Linked DNA regions of Lepisosteus oculatus. The protein of the gene in region 2 purifies or fractionates together with the protein of the main gene of each other region. This does not show direct contact. Links are inferred from orthologs where the notes say so. Each region holds a gene or a part of one and is shown on either strand. Other genes may lie near its edges.

Region 1 (7,298 bases), on a different chromosome or scaffold from region 2:
TTTACACCAATTAAGTGAAAAGGGTATCTTGAATTCCCCAATGTTACATAATTTTAGGCATATAACGGTCTTCAAAATCCAGTTTTATGAGGTTCAAAGTAATCCAAAGGACCTCAGATAAAAGAAATGTGAAAATCAATTCTGAATCAGAAAAGACAAAGCTGAGGATTCTTGTTTAAGCTCCGTCAGTCCTACCTTGTGAAAGTACTGGAAGAAACTCCAGTGAAACGGTTCATAAAGAAAACGTCATAGTGGGTATGATTACACAGAAATGTCATGGCTGAAATTTTAACAGACAGCATACCAGAGGGGGTTGAGCACAGCTTTGCAGTTGGGTCTGCTGCAGAGCACGGGCTCGTATTGCACAGGAGGGAGGTCGGGACGCTCCTTCAGAGGGGTGAAGAGGCAGGAGAGGGGCACCACCATCCTGGTGGCCTCCAGACGGCTCGAGGGCCACACGTTCCAGCTGAACCGCACCCCATCCCGCTCCTCGTTTTGTTGGATGAACTCCTGATATGTTGCCATGAGATCTGACAGGCTATAAAAAGAGCAAGATCATAAACCTGAGCCGCTCGAAAATGATGCAACCAAAAAAAAAACGCTTGTTCTTTATCATCTACCATTCCAGTTGTCTTGTACTTCCCTTTTTCCAGGGGTGCGATACACATTCCCATATTAAACTCTGGGAGTCATCTCACCTGAACTCTCTCAGAGACTTACACTTCCCAGTCATTTTATCTCACTCTGAATCTATCCATAATAGGTTGAAAAGTTAATCTAAATAATTTTGCTTTGGTAACATTCAGAGTCACTAGAGCTCTTAATTATTCAACTGGCCTGCACTGCTACTGTAGGCACTTCTTAAGTTACCTATAAAACTTTCATAGTGCAGACACTCCTGGGCAAGAAAATGTACTGGCCATGAAATTAATGTGTGAAAAATAAAAAAGTGCCTTGTTTTAAAAAAGCAATAGAAATAAAAGAAAAGCCATAAAGAGTTGCAAAATGGCAACCTATTACTTGTGTATTTTAGACAACAGTTTTGTTTTTGAGTAAACACAGATCACAAATAAAAATTCAAAATGGTTAAGTCAACCAATTCAATAACTTTCCGAATCCAGCCAATTTTAAGTTCGTGACAATTAAAAAAAAAAATCTAAATTAAAAAGCTCTGTTCCATATGAAAATATCTATTAAGCGGTAAATACTACTAAGAAACCCAGCTAGGTCTTATGATCAAATGTCGAAAAGAAGACAGTATTTACATACCAATAATGACAACCCACACAACTGCTGAACAGCTTTCTGGTACTACGGTTCCGTTCCTTAACTGTACAGGTCCACAAAGAAAATGCTACTTACAAAGCATATTTGTGACTTTAATAGTCCAGAAACTAGCACGTAATGGACAAATCAAGAAACAGCTATGATGTCAAAATAAACCTGTTAGACAGGTTTCCGGATGTAAAACCGTCTTCAATGGGATATTTTTAGACAGGTAGTGCGTCAGAGCTGACACACCTGGATTTTCAGTTTAGAAAGCACACCTGTGCTAAGCAAAATCCAGCAAATACGCTTTTTCGGGCATTTCTCAACAGCAACCATATGGTTCAGTAAAGTCTACCATTTCACGAACGTAATAATGTAATAATGTTTCTTTATTAGCCCTGTACAATTTCTTGCATTAGGAATTCATCTTTTCACATACCCCAGCTTTTCTCCATGGAGACACAGACACACAGACAGGGAGAGAAGCTTGGGGTCAGAGCGCAGGGTCAGCCATTGTACAGCGCCCCTGGAGCAGTTAGGGTTAAGGGCCTTGCTCAGGGGCCCAACGGAGTAGGATTCCTCTGCCGGCCACGGGATTTGAACCGGCAACCTTCCAGTCACAGGGGCAGATCCTTAGCCACAGAGCCACCACTGGTCGTTCTATAATTCCACTTAGTAACCAAGTATTCCTTACAATGAGCCGAATCTTTACTCCACGGAATAAGAACATGTTCTACTCGGCTAAATTCTGATGCGGTTCTCACGTTTTAATTGGCTTGATACTAGTAAACGAGCTACGTTCTCTTTCTGCCTGTCAGTTTTCACATTTACGCTTGTCAGATCATGTTTATTAAAAATGGATATATACACACACAAGTCTCAGCTGAAGGTAAACAAATCCCATCAGTTTTAAGTTTGAATTAACAACGATATCCGTTTTCTTAACGAAAATAGTGGTTGTTAACAGCTGCCACCAGTAAACAAAAGGCAACAACCGAACTGCCCAATACAGACAGATAACAGCCACAAGATAACCTAATTTAACAGGGGGGAAGACTCCCCTTTCCAAACACCACTCCCTGCTAACAGGATGTTGGCGTAGACATAACTGGGGTCGGCACCAACTACAGATTCCCATATTTTATGTTGAACTATCAATAACCTGGTTAATTTAAAAACTGGTAATAAAGCTGTTGCCCCAACAGCTACACTGGTTTTCCAAATACGGGAAATCTCTTACAATTTCAAGAACTGATACTGCGATTCCGATTCTCCTTCTTCATCACATCTAGTGATTTGTTTTCCACACACAGTAGTATCTTACATTTAACCCCCTACAAATATAATTTGTACAAAGAGAATAAGACTCTACTCATGTTATAACTTGCTGCTAAACTGTAGTTGTTATACATCGGGCAAGGTTAAAACACGGTGCTTATTAACCCTCGCAAGCTCTACTCCATTAACCCTCACCCCACTTCCTACCTTCCTATACCGGGATCAATGTTAGGATAGGTGCAGGCTTAGCGAGATAATCAGCGGCCTACAAATACTAAGAAACCGAACCTACCTTCAAAAGAAGACAAACGTGAAAAAAACGACAGAAACTACTGTCAATCACACCTAAAGATCGGAATGAAAGAACAATTAAAAAAAACACAAACTGAAGGAATAACTCTGGGAATGAAAGGAATGTGAAGTGAACACCGGCTACTTGGACGCCCGTGGAATGACGTGTTACTACCGGTCTAGGAAATCCACCTCAGCTCAAACGTTATTGGTTAACGTCCTTCATGATGTCACCGGCAATTACAATTCGCCACGTCAAGAGAAAGAAACGCTAAATCTGATTAGCTCCCCCTAGCGCTTGTGAACGTCATTATCATCGGCATTATTTCTGTACAAGTGGTTGCTGCATCTGCATGCGTAGGCTGCAAAGGAACAAGTAAAGGTTTATTCCACGCTGAAGGAATGGAGCTTTCTTCAGTATTATTTATGTAGTTGGGCGGTGCGGTGGCTCTGTGGCTAAGGGTCTGCACCTTTGGCTGGAAGGTTGCCAGTTCATATCCTACAGCAGGCAGTAGAATCCTACTCTGATGTGCCCCTGAGCAAGACCCTTAACCCTCTTAGAAGTACTGTATTTACCTTACCCCATAAGGTGATGTACTTTGAAAATATTGAAAAATTATTTGTCCTATTAAGGAAATTGGGTTTTGTTTCACTATAGTCCCACAGTCAGTCTAGCTTGAACTGGGAAAAAAGTCTCCAAATTAGAATATTTAAAGTGGCAAGTCAACCACTTGAATCAAGCAGCTTGAACAAGGTGAAGAGGAGAATATGCAGACTTCACAAAGACACCCAGGTCTGAATTGATTCCAGGACTCTCGAGCCATGTTGTAGTGATACAGTGTGGTATAATGGAATCCCTTAACATGACACAATCTGAAACATATATGACACCTAGGAATACAATACTACCTAAAAGCACTAGGCCTTAAATTAAAGTACCTGGATGAAAATAACATGTTTTCTGTACCATTTATACATTGAAGAGAGATTTATAAAATCACCTAATGTTTTTTTAATGCAAATTATAGTCTCCATCAAAGCCTTTACCTTTAAAAATATATATATGCTAAGTATCAAAAGAAATTATGAATATATTTTATTCACACCTTAGATATGAACCAGTTTAGGCATCATTTAGATTTCATGAAAAATAACACCCAGCCATAAAAAGCAAAAATGTTTACTGAAATGTGAATAAAGGTCCAACCACCTGGCTGTAGAACGAGGATGTTAGGAGCCCATGTCAAGTGAAATGACCCAAGGGTGCAAAGCTGAAGATGGGCTGGATGAGGAATGCTAAAGAAAATTAACCTGAGCAAGCATAGATCTTACTTTTTTGGGGCAATGGGGGAAAGGACATCATAAAAGATTAGAAGTTAGAGTGGTGGAGTTGAAGAACAACATCCTTACTGTTATTTTTCTGTATTTGTTAGAAATTCCTTTAATTGATAATTCCTAACTGAAACAATTGGGAGTGGTTTGCACTATTGCATAAGCACAAAATCACCTCACGCTTGAGAACAGGTTGGGCACTGGTAATCTGATGATTTAAGTTCTTGTATATCAACATTGGTGTAGAAAAAAAAAAAGGGAAAGGTACCAGGATGTCCTGCTTATCAAGACAACCGTGCCTTCTTACCATCAATGGTATACCGATATACTGAGGTGTCTTAGTCCAACTTCCAACTGCAAATATAGTACAGACACGTGGAAAAAAGCACTGTTCTGTACAGCAGACCAATTGACAGGGAGGCACAGGGTCCAATCAGTAGAGAACTCAACTGGCAGTAATTGATGAAACATGAGTGCATGGCTGTAAATTGATCAATTCCTGTGACTGAGCAGATTAAGTGATAACACACATCCTCATGCTACTCCTGTAGCAATTACTTTTTTTTTTTTGCAAGATGAGAATTTGAGCTTTATGCAAGATTTGGAGAATGAACAAGAATGGTCAATATAGCTCATAGACCAATAAACAAGATATGCAGATCCAGGCTTTACAAGAAGAGGATCAAAATCCCAGTGGATGATTCTTTACCATTTAGATCACCACTTCCCTGATTTAATGTCTGGAATTTGAAAAAGATTAACAAAAATTGCAGTATCCAGATATGCAATAATAATGTAGAGAGATGCATGGCTACAATTTCTGCCAATGGAACCTCAAAAAATTGAGGAGTTTTTTTAAACTTGTATAAATCAGTAATTCCCCCAATAATGACAGTCTACCAAGTCACTTTCAGGTGCCAGTAAATTCTTTCACTTATGGGCAGTTAAGAAATTAAGAGAAAAAGTTCCATGTTTAATTAAATCAGCAAGTTAAACACCAGTGGCTTCATTTAACAAGGGCATAAGGCAATGGTCTTCAATTAACCAGTCTTACAATTTTTGAAGCAGAATTTATTGTATCAGTTGACATTTTTAAAAGCTGTGTTTCCTCCTCGAAAGGAATAACAGAGTTAAACATAGTTCTCACTGCAAAGTGTACTACAGGACTTTGTCTGAATAACATGCCATGAAACTGGTTTCTCAAAGATGCCTGAAAGAGATATGCAGTAAACATAAGCCAACAGAATGTGAAAATGAAGTTGTCCAGTGAAATTCCATAATACATTACAAAGTTTCTTTGCAACTCTAAAACTGCAGAAAAGTAAAAGTAAATCAATTTGGTTCACATGCAGATCGCTTGAACATTAGGGAACACCATTAACATTGCCAAAGAGGTAAAAGGAAATAGATTAATAGTTTTCAAACAGGTGCTTTTCAAGTTTCTTCCACTTCTGAACATAGCTCATTTACACTTGTGTGCAAATTTTCAATAGCTTTCAGGCTAACAGCTCATACTCAACAGGGTTGTTTCATTTCTCCAGGCAACTACTAGAACTTCAAAACGGCAAAATATTGTCTAAAAGGGAGCAGGGGAAAAAAAGAAACTCAGTTATTTTGCAAAAACAATTTCAACAGGTATGCATTCCAAATATCAATACTTTTTAATGTGCCTAAACGATACAAAAGGAGGACAACCCATTCTCACCTGATCTTGACTGGGAGGCAAACTGCAAGAACACGCATCAGAGAAGTTCCTTTTCTCACACTCTGTGTGTCCCAGTTCAACACCAAGGTAGTATTTAATCCCATTAACAACCTATTGAAATGTAAAGAAATGTCATGAAAGCAGTAACAACAACAACAACAAATGAAATGATGAAGAAGAAATGCTGGTTACCTGCTGTTTTGCATAAGTTATCTCAATTAGTTTACTGAGGTACATGTCGTTGCTTGCTTTGTTATACTCATCAACCGCAAACTGAGCACTTTTAAGTACTCCTGGGTCGTCAACAGAAGCCTCTCGAATATCCCCCACCATCTGTGTGGAGGCCTTAAGGAATGCAAAGCACACAAGCCCACAGAAACTGTACCACACCAATCCCATGCTTCTTGATTAGTCTGAAGTAATAAACTGAAAAGAAAAAATGAAGACTAACATCACAAAGTGTACAGAGTCATTCTAACCAAAGAACATTTCATGAGCTGGGGATGTTGAGTGTTAGAAATGTTGACATAACTCAAAGTCTAGTCTCCATCACTTTAATACAAGTCTTTATCTAAATATAAAAGGTTAAATTTATTTTAATGGTGGCAGTCAATCCATCACTGAAAAGATATTTAGTATGCTATAGCATAACAAAATAAAAATCAGGAAGTTTTAAAAAGTCAGGAAACAGTTTCTAACGATTTTTGCAAGGGTCTTTTCCATATCACGCAATAAAGGAAGTTGAACTGTATAATACAAGTACAAGAAACATACACACTATGTATATAAACGAAGCCTAAAAGTTTAAATGATATTCATAAAGAATATCTACAATTTATCTGCTTTACCATATTAACCTTTATAATAAAAGCGTTTCACAAATCTCCACATATAGCAATAATTGGTCTCGTTCTATACAGGTCTGTAAGCATTTGTTTCGAAGCCAAAGCGCGATAAGGATCAGGAAATGCACCAACAATCAAATAATAAGCAAAATCTAATGCAGTGTACTCCTCAGAAAGATCCCTCGTGTGCGTAGCATTCTGTTCTTTAGGTAACAAACCACTTGAAATAGGAGGTGAAAATACTTACCTTCTCCTGTGATTTAGTGCTGGTACTTTTGTTTGTCAAACAAAACACTGGCCCTACCGCTCTGGTGGCTTGTCGCTTTTATGCCAAATTTCTGACACACCCATCACCTGTGTAAGCACTTAGCAACTGCGTAATTGACCGATTTTAAAATCCCTGCTTGGGCGGGTCACATTGTAAAGGCATTGTCGCGACAAGAAGGCATTATTCTGTTGTGTTGCTGCCACGTTTGTTAAAAAAAAGAGTTTAAAGATAAAGCTGAGTTTTATTTTTTATATAACGTCATATTCATTTTGGAAGACTGAGTTTCTTATTTTCTTTTTCATAATTGTGT
Region 2 (7,645 bases):
GCTTCAACAACAGGGCAAGGTAGCTTGTTCCACGCTCCCACACAAAAACAGCAGACACAGGATTACATCACTGCTGATGATTAGATCACTTCAGAGCTTTCAGGGCCCAAGTTTCTGTAAACCTTTACTATCTTAGCTGCTTCATCCAGCACCTCATTAATGTCTTGATTTCCTCTCCTTATCTTTTCATTACACCTCTCCTTGCTTTGGTAACAGGAACAAAAAGTTAACTTAAAATCTACACTGAAACTGTAACTGTAAAATCCCATTGGCCTTCTTTAGACATTCCTTCTCAGGAAACTGACTTTCCAGACCAAATGAAAAGCTCACTGTTTCCACTTTACTTCCAAATTTTCTTTTTCTTTCAAAACCTTCTTGATGAAAAATATTTGTCTTACCTCCTGGCTCAGTTAGCATGGGAGAGAGAAGGAAGGAGCTTCATGACAGCTGAGCATTGATCTCAGCTGATCTCATTGATTCCTCCATCAAACATTTCCTTAACCTGCTCATGGGGGCTTTCTTCAGGGCACGCATGGCTGCAATCTGAGCATCCGACTTCCTTTAGTTGTGAAGATAATGTCATGTTGGGACGCAGGCATCAAGGGAGAGACCACTTTCCCTTGTTGCAAGCGTGAGAGACAGCGAGAAGAAAACATAGAAGAATTCAGTACAGTACACGGCATTATGGGTTGTAAATAACCAATCTTTGCAGCAACAAATCCTATTAGATCAGCAGAAGTGCTGACCAGGAATGAAAATTCACCACTCTATTACCTCTATTAATTATATAAAACTATCATTTATTATTATGACTAAGCTTTCAAGGAGACTTTTAAACTGTCATGATGGAATGGTGTAATGTTTAAGAATGAGCTACAGCTGCACAGAAATGGGATTATTCACCATTTGCAGCAGAGATGCCCAGTTTTAGATCCTGTTCAGTGGGGTTTACAGGTCTCATCAGCACCTGAAGAGCTAGGAGAACCTCTTTCATCCATCCATTTTCTACACTCTTCTACAAATTCAGGGTCATGGGGGAGCCAAAGCTTATCCTAGCAGGCAACAGGCATGAGGCAGGATAAGATAAGATCACTTTATTGGCCTTATGCAATTTATTGCATTAGGAATTTGTGTTTTCACATACTCCGACTTGCTCTCCATGAGTTACACAGACAGGAAGAGAAGCTTGGGGAAAGAGCACAGGGTCAGCCATTTATACGGCACCCCTGGAGCAGTTGGGGTTAAGGGCCTTGCTCAGAATTCCTCTGCCAGCCACAGGATGCAAACTGATAGCCTTCCAACCAGAAGGCACAGATCCTTAGCCACAGAGCCACGGCACCACCCCTGGGACACTACCTTCAGCAGGGCAAACAGAAAACAAAAACAGACACACACACTTACACCTTGAGCCAATTTTCTCAGAAGCCTATTAACCTACTAGCATGGTTTTGGGCTGTGGGATGAAACCAGAGCACCTGGTAATTCACGGTCATGCCTTTCAGACTGTGTAATGCCCCGGTTACGTTTTAGCAGTTGATGGAGCGAGTGCTGGCATCAGTCCACTAGAGCGAATGCTTTGTGTATCTAGACAACCTACTCGTGCATGCCCAGGGTTTCGAGCAGGCTCTGGCGAACCTCTGGTTAGTGTTGGCTTGCATCCGGCGGGCCGGGTTGAAGCTCAACCCTGGGAAAGGTTACTTTCCTGGGTCATATGGTTGGCCCGCGAGGGGTGTCACAGACCTGGGGAAGATCGCTGCAGTGCGTGACTGACACCATAGCAGAGCTCTGCAGTTTCCTGGGGTTGACGTCTTATTACCCGAAGTTTGTCCGGGACTTTGCCAGCCTCACCCCCCCACTGCACCGCCTTACGGAGAAGGGGTGCCGTTTTGTGTGGGACATGGAGTGTGAGGGGGCCTTCTGGGGGCTGCAGAAGGTGCTAGTGGGGGCCCCTGTCCTGGCCTTCCCAGATCCGACGCTACCATATGTGCTAGATACTGACATGATGCAGGGGTGGGCGCAGTACTAGCGCAAGAGGGTCTAGATGGGGAACGGGTCGTTGCATATTTTAGCCTGGCGCTCAGCAAAGCAGAGAGAAACTATTGTGTCACCTGGAGGGAGTTGCTGGCTGTGGTCTCGGCAGTCTGCCACTTCAAGCCCTACCTGTTTGGAACTAGTTTCAAACTGTGGATGGACCATGCGTCCCTCAACTGGCTGCTAAATTTCAAGGAGCTGGAGGACTGCCGCTACTGCGCCCAGTGGGAGCAGCGTGAGGAGGCCACCCGTGGTTGGGGGGAAGCGGCCATTCGGTATGGACCTTGTGAACCTGGCACAGCAGCAGCGGGAGTACCCCGACATTGGGCCAGTGCCCCATTGGAAGGCAGCTCAGTTGGGAGGAGCTCACCTCTCACACCAAGTCCATGAAGGCTCTCTGTGCTCTGTGGGAGGCCTTAGAGGTAAGGGACGGGGTGGATACCCTCCAGCGGCAAGGTCAGGTGGCAGCTTGTAGTGCCACGATCGCTCTGCGGGGCAGTTCTCCAGGCGGTGCACGGTAAGCCGGGTGTGGGGCACTTCGGCTCCGCGAAAACCCTGCGGTGACTCCAGGGCCACTTCTATTAGGGTCTCTGCCACTGGGATGTGGGGCGTTTCTGCCAGACGTGTGCGGTCTGCGAGGCCCAGAAGGGCCCTCCTGAGCGCCCCTCCAATGGCACCAGGTGGGGGAGCCCATGGAACAAGTGGGGGTGGACATATTGGGCCCATTTCCGGGGACCGAGGTGGGCAACAGCTCCGTCCTGGTGGCAGTGGATTATTTTAGTGGCCCAAGGCTTACCGCCTCCCGAATCAGAGCATGTCCACCATGGCCGATGCCCTGTTGGAGGGAATGTTCACTAGGCTGGGGGTGCTGGAGGAGCTCCATAGTGACCAGGGGTGGAATGTCGAGTCTTAGGTGTTCGTGGGGGTGTGCCAGCGCCTGGGGATTAAAAAAACGTGGACCACCTCGCTGTATCCCCAGAGCGACGGGCTGGTGGAGCATCTTAACCGGATGCTCTCCACTCAACTGGCCACCTTCGTCTTGTGGCACCAGCGGGACTGGGACCGCCACTTACCTCTCACCCTCTGGGCGTACCGGACCGCTGTGCAGGAGTCCACTGGGTGTGCAGGAGTCCACTGGGTGCACTCCAGCCTCGTTCATGCTGGGAAGGCGGGGGTGCAGCAGAAGCGGTATTACAATCTGCGCTGCAGAGGGACTCCTTTCAGACCGAGGGACCTCGTCTGGGTCTATAACCCACGGGGCCGCAAGGGGCTCGGCCCAAAGCTGGCGCCGGCCTGGGAGGGACCCTGGGAGGTCGTGGGGGAGCTCTGCTACCGTGTCCGGCTCACGGCTTGGGAAGCGAGGGAGGGTGGTGGTTCTGCACCGAGACCGCCTGGCTCCCTCCAGGGCTTGCGAGGGCTCACTTGAACGGGAGGGCGCAGAGGAGTCTGGGGAGCAACCAGGTCCAGATTTCACCGTCCGCGGGGCCTGGAAGATTTTGTGTTTAACATAGCCAGGTTTGTTGCGTTGCGGCCGAACAGCACTCGGCTAAGGTGCGCAGCGAAGGGCAGGATGGGTGTATTAACCAGGGCGAGTACTAAGGGAGCCACTGGCCAGTGTCACTGACCATCTGGAACAGGTGTACACCACTGTAAAGGTTGTCCAGATCCCTGCGATCCCCAATTTTGCATCCCCTTTTATACCTGTACCCACTTACCACCCTATACCTACGTACCTGTACCCCAAATGACCCTAGTGTGTTGTACCCTGCTTTCTCTGGTTTTTACTTCCTCTGTTGTTGTTGCTGTGCCGGACGCACGTCCGACTAATATAGCACCGAGTTCTTAACTAATAGAGCTAATTAAGTTCCTGTTTCCATCCTCGCCAACCCCGTCGCGCTACAGTACTTTAGGAACAGGAAAACACATTTACAATGATCAGACTTAGTTAATTCCCAAGAGGCTCAACAGTCCTTTGAAAACACAGACAGACGGTTCACATTATAGATTTGCAAATTTAGTATACTGTATTTAAAAATTGTGTATTTACTGTATAAATAACACAATATCATTTCCTTGCGCAAACGTAGATAATAAAATGTATTTGTTCATTAGCAGATAAATTACATACTTGCTTTCTCATAACAGATTTCGATGTTCGTCACACTATAAGCATCCATCGCATCGCATGAAATAAGGTCTTGAGCCCGGTATTGCCCTGGACTATATTAACAGGGTTGTGTATACACTATGTCAATTATTTTCTTTAAAAAAACGGACTCGGTCCAATTTAATATCTCGGGTTCAGATGCAAGTTCATCTTTTCTTACAAAAACATTACACGTTGATGTACTCTAGGGGCGCACTGTTCGATATAAATCGTCCATTTCCGGTAGAGCTCGGATCGTGCCTCGTTCTTTTCTATTAAAAATAATTATATTTCTTTTTAAATCATTTAGACGCATATGATTTTATTGTCAACAACCAAAATAAATACAATTATGCAAAATTACAACATTAACTGCAAATTGTACATGGTTCAAGGCCTTCGACTGTGACGCCACGGTGTTTGGGATTGTGACGTTAGAGGTACACGTCGCCTAGCAGGATGTAGCTCTGGTTGAAGATGGCGGCTGTGTGTTTGCCTCACGGTTCTGCAGTCTTGTAGGAATTCCTATTTAATTCCGCTTTACTGGCCGAATTGTGTTGTTTCTTTGTCGTCTCCAGGAGGTCGGCGATCTCGTTCTTGAGAGGTAAGATGGATCGAGATGTACAAGCGGTGTGGTGCAGCACTGAGTTCAGATTTGTATAATGGGACTGGGTCGGGATTACCCTAGTTTTAAAAGGCACAAGATCTGTTATTATTCCCCCCCCCCCCGGCAGAAGTGGGGGCTTTAAGGAACTGACAGCGCATCCTGTTAAAGATCTGGTTTGGCATCAGACCATCGATTATCGGCGAGTTGGACATCTTCACTCTCCCCAGTCTGATGTACAAACGGGCTTCGTGAAAGTTCGGCACTTGCCTGTTGCAGACGTTCAGTTAATCATATGTGATGAGTCGCCGATATCCTCTGCTTGTTGACTTTAAACACGACAGCAGCATGTTAACGATTTGCTACGAGTCGCCGCTTTTAACGGCAGGTTTCGCAGTGGTGTTAATTATAAAATTGCTTGAAAAATTTAAATGTTCCCTATTCGATATTGAAACGTTCCTTCCAAATGTGTCAAATAAATAAAGCTGGAGAAGATAGTCCTTTTCGCTATTTTTTAAGATCGCAAGGTCGGGTTTGATCTTAAAAACATTTGAGTATTAATTTGAGAGCTTCTCACTATTTGCTTATTTTTGTGCGGGTGTCGTCTGATAACATCTTAAATTTTGCGTTTGTTGTAGCTCTAGTGAGGAACAGAGTCCTTATGCTTTGGACTTTAGTTTCTACGACTTAGAAACCCGATAGGCACCCTGACTGCAAGTGCGACTTCAGTAATTAAGTTGTATTACAATATTGTAACACACGAATAATAAGGATTTAGAGTTTGGAAACCAAAAAAACGTATAGGTGTTTGTTGTGGTGTTCGATAGTAAAGAATTGAAAATTGCAAATCGCTAAATTAACCATTGCAAAATAACCTGATTCGTCTACATTGTATTGTATTGACTCATGATGCTTTTGAGAGTTATTTTAGAGCAACAGTGCAACCGACGGGCGCCAATAGATGAGGGTGAGAAAGTTAGTCCTAAAGCAGCTCTTTAAACGCTGTTTGTGAGGACTACATTAGCCACAGAAACGTCGCACACCTGAGGCTGACGTGGAATTCCATCCCGTTATTAGGAAATGCAAGCTGCTTCACAGTGTACGCACAACCCAGTGGAGAAATCTATATGTGTGCAGTGAATCCGAAGACAAATGTCTATAGGACTACGAAGGAGGTCTAGTTACTGGTGGTTGAATTTTTTGCTGTGGAAGCCAAAATGATTCTATATAATATTAATTTTCCTGTGAAGGTTCCATATACTTCTTTCATATACTGAAAGAAGTATAATGAGTCACAAGTGGTGGGAGTATGGATGAACCTACCATCCATGTATCTGAGGCTGATATCCTGGCTTCCTTCAAGAAATGGCTGGATGAGATTTCTGATCAATGAGTTACTAACCAAAAGGGTTAGGTGTACAGAATATACACTTTATCTTGTAAGTCACAAACCACTTTCTCTATGATATTTGGAGTATATTTAAAGACGAGCTGCAGTCCCAGTTTCTCAGGCTTGTTATTAAATCTTGATAAAATAAATTCATTGACGGTATAGACAAATTGAACAAATTTCGAAATAAGCACACAATCGTGAACTTTGTAAAAGTACTGAAATGTCGCTGTGCTGTTGCACACCCCTGGTCTTGCTATAGACGAGAGCATGATTTCTCACGAATTGTGACGTAAAGCAGCCCCTACTGCTCCCTAGTCACTGTAATAACTAATGTAATGTGCAAATTAAGCACAGGTTGTGCAGCCGGCATTTCACCACAGAAACTTTCCAACATAATCTGCAATCAGTTTATCAGCAAAACCATCTTGAAGACGAGAGCAGTATTTCTCTTGGATTAAAAGAGATGTATTCACAAGCCTGCTTGCTCACAGTGTAATAGGGCCCCAACACGTCACCAGACGTTTTGTTGCCTTGTTCCAAATCGCAGAATATGATGCTGCGTCTACCTTTAAATTTTATTTTGTGATGTAAATTGGAGGATCTACAAGTTACTGTACATTTTACTTTTATTGTGGTTTGAAGGGCACTGATTTTGTAACCTCAAAATATAAAAAAAACATTGCATTTCCCCTTTTAAATATGTTTTTAAACTGTGCAGTTTAATGTTGAGGTGTTCCTGTTAATCACACAGAATATCCCAGCCTCCTAAATATGCAGTACTTGAAGATCACATACTGTAATTCATGCAGTCACTTTGTTTGCACAGGATCGTGGTCTATTGTTGGTAACCCAGTCTCTATAAAAACTGTCTTAATTAATATTCAGTACATTCCTCAAGAAATTATTAATGATGTCATCATTGCATTTTTGTTGGGTTCAAAGATCCAGCACTCATTTTGCCATGTGATAATGTATCCATTTAAATAAGAATAGAAAGTTCGCTTGCCATTCTTAATGTTTTGCAGCCTCTCTTATTAGTGAAGGGGCAGTCATCTTATAGTTGACAGTTGTAAAACTTGCAACTTGGGAATAAATAACTCAAGGCTTTGTCAACACTGGTGTGACAGATCTTTTGGTGGAATCACTGAATCCCTAACTAAAAAGCTGTAAATCTTAAATAATAATATGGCTTTAGTTTAAAAAATATTGAAGAACTACTGTGGCAAGTGTACAAAATAGATAGATAAGACTTTATTGATCCTGAAGGGAAATTGATGTGTTACAGCAGTCTGGCCCAAGACAAGCAAAAAAACAGACATCGGAATAGAATACAAATTATAATATGTACAGTAATACAGAGTAAATATAAAATAAATACATAGGTGTGTACAAAATATGATCTTAGTCACTGTAAAAACAATAAAATATATGCAAAATGTGCATAGGTATAAACAGATTGAGTGTCCAAAAA

What was found.
Region 1: the proteins of sec16a (region 2) and sec23b purify together in Homo sapiens (affinity purification with mass spectrometry; 3 studies listed by BioGRID and IntAct, with this or other methods). This does not show direct contact. The link is inferred for Lepisosteus oculatus from reciprocal best matches to the Homo sapiens genes SEC16A and SEC23B.

What each region holds. Positions count from the first base shown.
Region 1 is NC_090712.1:10,771,569-10,778,866, reverse strand, and holds the start of sec23b (protein transport protein Sec23B), read right to left. Parts: upstream 3,024-7,298; 5' UTR 2,840-3,023; intron 1,604-2,839; exon of another isoform or gene 1,270-1,603; intron 539-1,269; 5' UTR 526-538; coding exon 305-525; intron 1-304. Other genes in the region: cystatin-2-like, read right to left, coding at 5,672-5,746, 5,876-5,986, 6,068-6,274. UniProt on the Homo sapiens protein: Component of the coat protein complex II (COPII) which promotes the formation of transport vesicles from the endoplasmic reticulum (ER).
Region 2 is NC_090719.1:5,263,481-5,271,125, forward strand, and holds the start of sec16a (protein transport protein Sec16A), read left to right. Parts: upstream 1-4,628; 5' UTR 4,629-4,781; intron 4,782-7,645. UniProt on the Homo sapiens protein: Acts as a molecular scaffold that plays a key role in the organization of the endoplasmic reticulum exit sites (ERES), also known as transitional endoplasmic reticulum (tER).